2 linked regions of the Arabidopsis thaliana genome follow. The protein of the gene in region 1 interacts with the protein of each later gene in a pairwise test. Each region holds a gene or a part of one and is shown in the gene's direction. Other genes may lie near its edges.

Region 1 (4,199 bases):
TTAAGACTATGTAGCTTAGCCTATGTCAATGTCATCAATCTATATGCAATATATATAGAGCCTCAGGCACATAAACCGTAGTCCCCATATAAAAAAGGGAATGAAACAGCTAATAACTCCATAGAGAATAAATTCACATTCAAAGCAAATTCACCACCCCAATCTTCTCAATGGTTCGGTTTCTTTTTTCAATTCTTACATTGTACTAAAAGCTAAAAATTCAGACTGATACGATACGAATAGGTTTTTGAAAATATAAAAATTAATCAATTTCCATTAAAGGGCTGAATAGCTAAAAACTCCATAGAGAACAAGTCGCTTTATTGGATTTAGATTTTAAAAAGACGGCGCTCGTGAATTATTAAAGTTTAAACTAAGATAAGATTTAAAGAGATTTAGAGGAGACGTAATCTGGTGTATATCGTTCACATAGAGTCACGTCACTGTATAATCCATCGACCACTAAGGTTTTAGAGTTTAGTTTCAAATCTTACTTTTTCATGCAGGTGTACCGTATGTCACACAGATTATAGTAGTCGCCAACTTACGTTCCCAATGGGTGATAACGGCGTCAACGTCCTCCGTCACGATCGTGTCGTAAGCTGTACACTGTATAGGTTCCGTGAACCTTAAAATCGGATTTGGAAAGCTACGTACGTACGTAAATATTGGTTAAAAAGTTCAAACAGTTTTGATCTCTCTTTTATTACAAACAAACTGTACTTCCGACAATTTTCTTTCTTTCTATTTCAAGTACGTTTTCGTGTCTAACTATATTAACATCTAACTTCTGACTTTTATACTCTGATGGGACAATCTTTAATTCTTAAATTCTAAGTTGTACCATGCGAATGGATATTAGATTTTGTCAGTACAATTGCTGACTATGAATGAAGTACTCTAACATCATTATTGGTTCCTGAATAATGAGTACTTAAACAAAACAAATTTGAAGTAACGTAACCATGACATATTAGATCCATGTCCCCTAAAACGTATTAAAATTATTTCCTTACGTCGTTAAATTTCGAATCTAGTGTTAAATTGTTACATTGGTTGTTAAACTACCGACCCAATAAAAAAAAAGAAACTAATATTTATGATTGGTGCATCTTGTTGTAAATTGTAATCGTATGGCCTACCAGCGATTTCATTGTCCCCAACATACAGATATTTTTGTTCGTGTGTTATAAATTAGGGTAGAAACATCACATATTTTACAGAGACAAAGAAAAAAACAAGAATCGTAATAAAATGATATTATGGATACATGTAGATTATAAGATGAGAAATAATAATTTGTCACGGGTCCATCAGTATACTCGTCAAAATTGATTAGGTAGGTAATTTACTTCACATGCTCTTCCTGTATACAAGTATAAAGTATGTATTTTCATCTAAAATCTACTCTTTTCTCAATTACATTTTATATAGAAAAATTCATATTCTTAAGAAATAGTAGTAAAATTGTTCTTGAAAAAAAATATGAAAAGGCATTTTCCGTGACTCAGCCTCACAGGCGGCTTAAAACGACGTCTTTTTCAATTTTAATAAATTTTTGGTAAAAAAGCTTTTGGATCCGCCGCTATCTTCAGCAATTAAAGTTGGACGCAGAAACTCAGAAGCAAAAAGACGATAAATATTCATCATCACCTTCATCTCTCTCTTCCTCTCATCAGACTTCACCGTTCTTCTTTCTCTCTTCTTCATCTTCAGACGAAACCTCCTTTACTTCCCCTTCAAGGTTTTATATTTCCCAAATCCTACACCTGCTCACATCTCAAGCTCAAGTTTTGTTTTCCCGGGAAAAGTGACACAAACAAGAACTTAACAAGGGAGAAGAAAAAGCTTATATTCATATCAACGGTTGACGTTGGAAAGCTATTAAGATTTGGTTTTCTACAAATTTGTTCTTCCTGAAACGTCACGAGACAGAGCTTACAAGAAGAGAAAACAGAGGAAATTTCGTTGCATTTTTTTTACATATTGATTCGATTAATGGATTCAAATAATCATCTCTACGACCCGAATCCCACCGGGTCGGGTCTTCTTCGTTTTAGATCAGCTCCGAGCTCTGTTCTCGCCGCTTTTGTTGACGACGACAAGATTGGTTTCGACTCCGATAGGTTGCTTTCAAGATTCGTGACCTCTAATGGCGTTAACGGAGATCTGGGTTCACCTAAATTCGAGGATAAGTCTCCGGTTTCGTTAACGAACACCTCTGTTTCATACGCCGCCACTCTGCCGCCACCGCCGCAGCTTGAGCCGTCGAGTTTTCTGGGTTTGCCGCCGCATTACCCGAGGCAGAGTAAAGGGATAATGAACTCGGTTGGTTTGGATCAGTTTCTCGGTATCAATAATCATCACACCAAACCAGTTGAATCTAATCTTCTCCGTCAAAGCAGCTCTCCAGCCGGAATGTTTACTAATCTCTCTGACCAAAACGGTACCGTTTTGCTCTCTGCTACAAAGTTTTTCCCCCTTTTTTTAGTCTGAAATATTTTTTTCATTTATAACAGAAGTGTTTTTGGTACTTCTTGATTCAACTTTTTTGAATGTTTTAACACTTGCTTCAAGATTTTTGAATGTTTTACGTTCCTTGAGAATAATTTTAAGACAAGATCTGATTTGATTTTGTCAACCATAGAGTTAAAGCACTTTGGACTCAACAAATCTAATAAGTGTTTACTATATACTTACAAATTTGCAGGTTATGGTTCAATGAGGAATTTGATGAATTACGAAGAAGATGAAGAGAGTCCATCTAATTCCAATGGATTAAGACGCCATTGCAGTCTCTCTTCAAGGCCACCTTCTTCACTTGGAATGCTTTCTCAAATACCTGAAATCGCACCCGAAACTAATTTTCCATATAGCCATTGGAATGATCCATCCAGCTTTATTGATAACTTATCCTCACTTAAAAGAGAAGCCGAGGACGATGGAAAATTGTTTCTCGGAGCTCAGGTAACTCGGTTATCTAACCGGTTTGTTTTGGTTATTGATCAGTAGCTGAAAGTGGAGTTGATTTCTTGGAGTGGTTTCTAATGATGTTTTTGATGGGTTTCTACAGAACGGAGAGTCCGGGAATCGTATGCAGTTACTGTCGCATCATTTGAGCCTACCAAAGTCATCATCGACAGCCTCGGACATGGTTTCAGTGGATAAGTATCTTCAGCTACAAGATTCTGTTCCTTGTAAAATCAGAGCCAAACGTGGTTGCGCTACACATCCTCGAAGCATCGCTGAACGGGTAACTTCACCTAGTTAAGGCCATCTTTACATATATCAATGGAAGTCCATTTGAAGCAGAATCTAGTTTGTTTTCAGAAAGCCTTTCCTAAGAAATCTTGTCAATTGTGTCAGGTAAGAAGAACGCGGATAAGCGAGCGAATGAGGAAGTTACAAGAGCTTGTTCCTAACATGGACAAGGTACAGTTTTCAGGAACTTCCTTGTAATGACTTTTGATCATAAACAAATTGTTAAATGATGTTGTTTTCTTTATGTTTTAACAGCAAACCAACACTTCGGATATGTTGGATTTAGCTGTGGATTACATCAAAGATTTACAAAGACAGTATAAGGTAAAGTTCCTGATCATTGTGGAAAAAAAACAAAGGGGCCTGTTTAGTCTTCTGTTGAATTGATTTAGTCTTCTGTTGGTTTTACACAGATTTTAAACGACAACAGAGCTAACTGTAAGTGTATGAACAAGGAGAAGAAGTCAATATAGGGCGCAACAAAGTGTGTAGTAGATAGGACTAAAAAGCAGGGAGAAGGACAAGAAAGAAACAATGTCATGTCTGAATATTTTTTAGCCGAAACAGACCAAATTGTCTATGTAAGCTCTCGAGAAAAGCATCTGCTTCCAACAAAATTCTAAGTAATAAAATAGTACTCGATTTGTTCTTATTTCATTATTACAATGCAGAATCTACTAATCAAATGTTGTACTACAAAAGGTAAGATCAACTACGGTAGCTAAATGCGAAAATTATGACCAGAAGAACAAAGAAAGACTCGAAAACTAAGCAGAAAACATAAATTATTCTTCCATGTGATCTGCAGCGTCAGAATCTTTGATATCACCAGTAAGACTACTCCTGGTCACAACCAAAGTAAGAATCACACATGAAGTAGAGTGTATACGACTTCTCTCCTGGTTCAGTTGGTACTGCAAACTCCAGCTACGATGCAG
Region 2 (4,115 bases), on another chromosome or scaffold:
TAAATTACTCGTTGATTATCTAAGATAATAAAAGCATAAGACTCGCTCTACATTTACAAAATAGTTTTCCAATATATATAACTTATAAAATTTATATATTTGTCCATATATTAAAATACAATTTTTAGTGCTTTTTGTGGCGAATCCTTATTTACTCTCAACCATTTTTATTTTTTCCTTTCTAATTCTACCATTGCTCTTGCCAAACGCTTTCATTCTTTTATCTTTATAATTATTAATTATAATATCCTTATAATATTGTAAAAAATTTAATAAGCTATGATATATATATATAGTAAAAATAAAATAACTGGTTTGGTTTCAGTTTGGTCCTATCGAGTTCGGATTAAGACTTTGATAATCTATAAATACTTGAGTTGACTTATAATTATCATGATAAAGTTGAGCGGTGGTAGTTCAAAGAATTTTTAGTCTCAATCCATATAAGAAAGGATAGGAACAGAATGCATTGATCCATTAAAGGAATGTCAAAAAATTTCAATATCACTACATTTAAGGAATGTCAAACTTCTTCTAACTACTTTTTTAACTACCAAAATCTGAACAATTATCAGTTTCAAAATCAATCTCCTAACAATCCCCAATTTATGAAGGCTTATAGCAAAAATAAAGACTTGTTTTAATTAATTTGGACACAAAAACCCCATCTTTTTAAATTAAACTTTTGCTATCATCCTTCATAAACTCTTGTTTATTTTTTATCCGTCTTTTTAGTGAAATAGATCATAATAATATCATTTTAACTCCCAAAATTTTTCTAATTACCTTTTTAACTACCCAACATCAATCTCCTAACCATCAACATAATATAACAAATTATGGTTATCCACCAAATTTCTTTATATCGTCAACTGTTCCAAACTATCCTTCATATTTTAAAATATTTAATTTTTACTTATTTTAATTTTATTTGATATTAATTGTAATTAATTAATCACAAAAAACATAAACATAATTAAAATAAAAAATATAAAATAATGGTAGGGTAATGTGTTGTAATTTTATTAAACAAAACTATTGTAGTAAGTAAAAATTATGTAGGTATTGAATTATAATGTGGAGTGTTGAAAAGAGAAAAGTGGACATTGTAACCATGTAACTAATGTAGATAGTCTAACAGGTACACTAGTTGTACATGTTATTTTATCAACAATAGTTCTCTTCCTACTAATTAGAACAATTCAAGTCTAGTATCCATATATTATAATATAACATCTTACTAGTGCATGGGTTATTCAAAGATTCAATGATCATACAAAACATAAATCTACAAACTAAAATTCCCAAATAAAAATCATAAATCAAAGCCATCTCATTGAAGTTTCAGCTTTAACAAACACAAAATTAGCATAAAAACGATCAAAGAAAAAAACCTAAAAATCAAAACTTCAACTTCCAATATCTCTATTCCAATATCTTTCCTTCGATTTTTCTGTATGTCTTCCAAATTCTTTTTGTTTCCCTAATTGCTCAAGAAGTAATATCTTCGTCATTCTGTTTTTATTCAAGGTACATAGAAAGATTGATCCTAGACTACATCAAATTGGGTGTAGTCAGTGATATAGCTTCCCCGAAGTTAGCGGTTTTCGAAATCTTTTTGAAGCGGTTTCATATGATCGACCCAGAAGATTTTGGTACTACGACGTGACGAGTGGTTTTCAGAAGAACACATCTTCTACACGTGTCTTTAGGCTAAATTATACGTGCAAATATTTTTGCTAACTTCATTATGATTTAGTTATTTGACCGTTAATTTCCGCTTGTATTCCTCTTTGAGCTTGACCATTCTGTTTTTTATCTGCTTTTGGTTTTTAAATGAAATCGTTTGGTCCGTCCACAAAAAAAAAACAGTACCTATCCTCTAAGCCCGGCCCATCCCGGCCCATCCCGGCCCATCCCGGCCCATCCCGGCCCATACCGGCCCATATTTTAGTAATTATGGTTCCTATCTTCGTCTTCTTCGTTCAGAAATGGGAAGCGAGAACCATAGATTTACGTCAAGATAGCTTTTTTTCTATCAAGAATCGCAAAGCTATTTCGCGTAACATTACAATCGTCGTTCAGAAGAAACGAATTGGGTTTGACAAAGCTTCGATATTCAGGGAGATTTCTGGGTTAATTTGTGAAAGAATCAGAGAAATTTAGAGTTTTTTTTTTGGGGGTAAATTTGAGATGAAGCCACACGAAGATTGGGTTTATGAATCATGGACAGTAGATTGTGTTTGTGGTGTGAATTTTGATGATGGTAAAGAGATGGTTGATTGTGATGAATGTGGTGTTTGGGTTCATACATGGTGTTCTCGTTATGTTAAAGGTGATGATTTGTTTGTTTGCCACAAGTGTAAGATAAAAAACAATGAAGATGAATTGTCCAAGTTATCGGTTACTAAATCGTTGAGAATGGAGAATTTATGTACGCAGAGTAGTGAGAGTGTTGTATTGAAGGCTTGTTCAGAGATACCAATTGAAGAAAGGGTTCATGTACAAGGAGTTCCTGGTGGTGATTTGGGTTTGTTTGAATGTGTTTCTTCGGTTTTTAGTCGGCAGTTATGGAAGTGTAGTGGTTATGTGCCTAAGAAGTTTAGGTTTCAGTGTAGGGAGTTTCCTTGTTGGGATGAGAAGGAGAATGTGTGTGATGTTGTTGGGGATGAAGATGATAGTAATCTTGCTGGTGTTTTGTTGTCTATGTCGAAAGAAAACGGTGTGGATGGTAAGGGAGACAATGCTAGGAATTGTGGTTCTAGAGAAATTGAGAGTGATGTAGAGAAAGAGAAGAGCTTGCTTTGTGATCCTTTGAGTATATATAAGAGGAGAAACGAGTCGGTGGGTGGTTTTGAAGATGGGGTAAAGAAGAAGGTTAAAGTTGCTGATAAAGAGGAAGAATAATGATGTAAGAAGGCTTTGATTTGGATACAGAAGAGGCATTATGTGTTACACAACCAACATTTCTTATTTTAATAGATTTCTTACACAAGAATGGTAAGGTTTATAACTTTGTCACTAGTTTAGATTCTTAACCTTATATTCAGATATAACCACAATGGTTCATGGTTTCATTTGTCTTTGCAATCAACTAACAGTTGTAGGATACTTAACATCCACATAATATGCAATAAAAAGTGTAAATTCTTTCCATTGATGATAAACTCGATTGCTTGGTTTATAAGTTTGTGTAGGTCAAATTAGGAGCAAGAAAGGCTTGTTTTATCTTGATGATTAACTCAATCTTAGTCATTCATGTGAGCGGTTCGCAGTTTCAGGATTAGTAGGCGCTCAAAATCTTGAAGGCTTCGCGGACTCTCCTCGCCCTCCGTCCTTCCATAGATGAAGTTGAATTCTCTGACAATTCTCACCATGAACAATTTTAGGTGATTTCAAATAGATAAGAAAGCTCTTGTTGGAAGGCAGTGCACTAAAGGGTCCTGATATCCTACTTGTATTCCAAAAAACTCTTCTCTTGAATATGAAAGGCTGCAAAGCGTTGGTGCGACTTCCAAATTGTTTCCGGAACTTACGGAGTATATGCAGAATTTTGTGCTTTATGGAACAAGAATAAACTTGAAATGCCAAAGTTATTGCATTGCATTGAGTCTGTTTTATGCTTAAGTGCAACTGTGCAAGCTAACATCAGCCATCTGATATGGCTTTACTTCAAGAATCGCTAGAAGCTCAAATCTTAAGTGCCACATGGTTTATGTTTGATGTTTTGTGTCGCTTGGTAGGCACATATTTAGTGGCCATTGTTGTAGGATCCAAATCGCTAAGTAAAAGAAAAGTCTCAATTCTATATGAAACTCATGTAAATCCATTAAAACTCATTGGAGAAAAGCCCTTAATTATCCATATAAGCCCGTAACGAGAGAGTAAACCTAAAATTTCGTTAGACAAAAAGAAAACCCTAGCCGATTAATATCCTTATAAATAGATAGGTAGTCTCCTTAATTTTCTCCTTAGTCAAAATCTTAGAGAGAGTCCGAGGAAACCCTAGCCACCGTCGTTGCCGTAACTCGTTCGCCTGAGGATAATGATCAATTGGGTTTATGCTAGAGTTAAATCGGGTCTTGAAAAGAGAAGGAAGTTGCATGCGACTCCTT

The links. The genes of interacting proteins can lie anywhere in the genome.
Region 2: the proteins of FBH4 (region 1) and AT4G10600 interact in a two-hybrid assay, tested with the Arabidopsis thaliana proteins (one large-scale study listed by BioGRID).

What each region holds. Positions count from the first base shown.
Region 1 is NC_003071.7:17,610,963-17,615,161, reverse strand, and holds FBH4 (basic helix-loop-helix (bHLH) DNA-binding superfamily protein), read left to right. Parts: upstream 1-1,570; 5' UTR 1,571-1,998; coding exon 1,999-2,446; intron 2,447-2,710; coding exon 2,711-2,967; intron 2,968-3,073; coding exon 3,074-3,253; coding exon of another isoform or gene 3,254-3,271; exon of another isoform or gene 3,272-3,366; coding exon 3,367-3,432; intron 3,433-3,516; coding exon 3,517-3,648; downstream 3,649-4,199.
Region 2 is NC_003075.7:6,546,726-6,550,840, reverse strand, and holds AT4G10600 (RING/FYVE/PHD zinc finger superfamily protein), read left to right. Parts: upstream 1-1,962; 5' UTR 1,963-2,193; coding exon 2,194-2,907; 3' UTR 2,908-3,000; exon of another isoform or gene 3,001-3,172; intron 3,173-3,275; 3' UTR 3,276-3,606; downstream 3,607-4,115.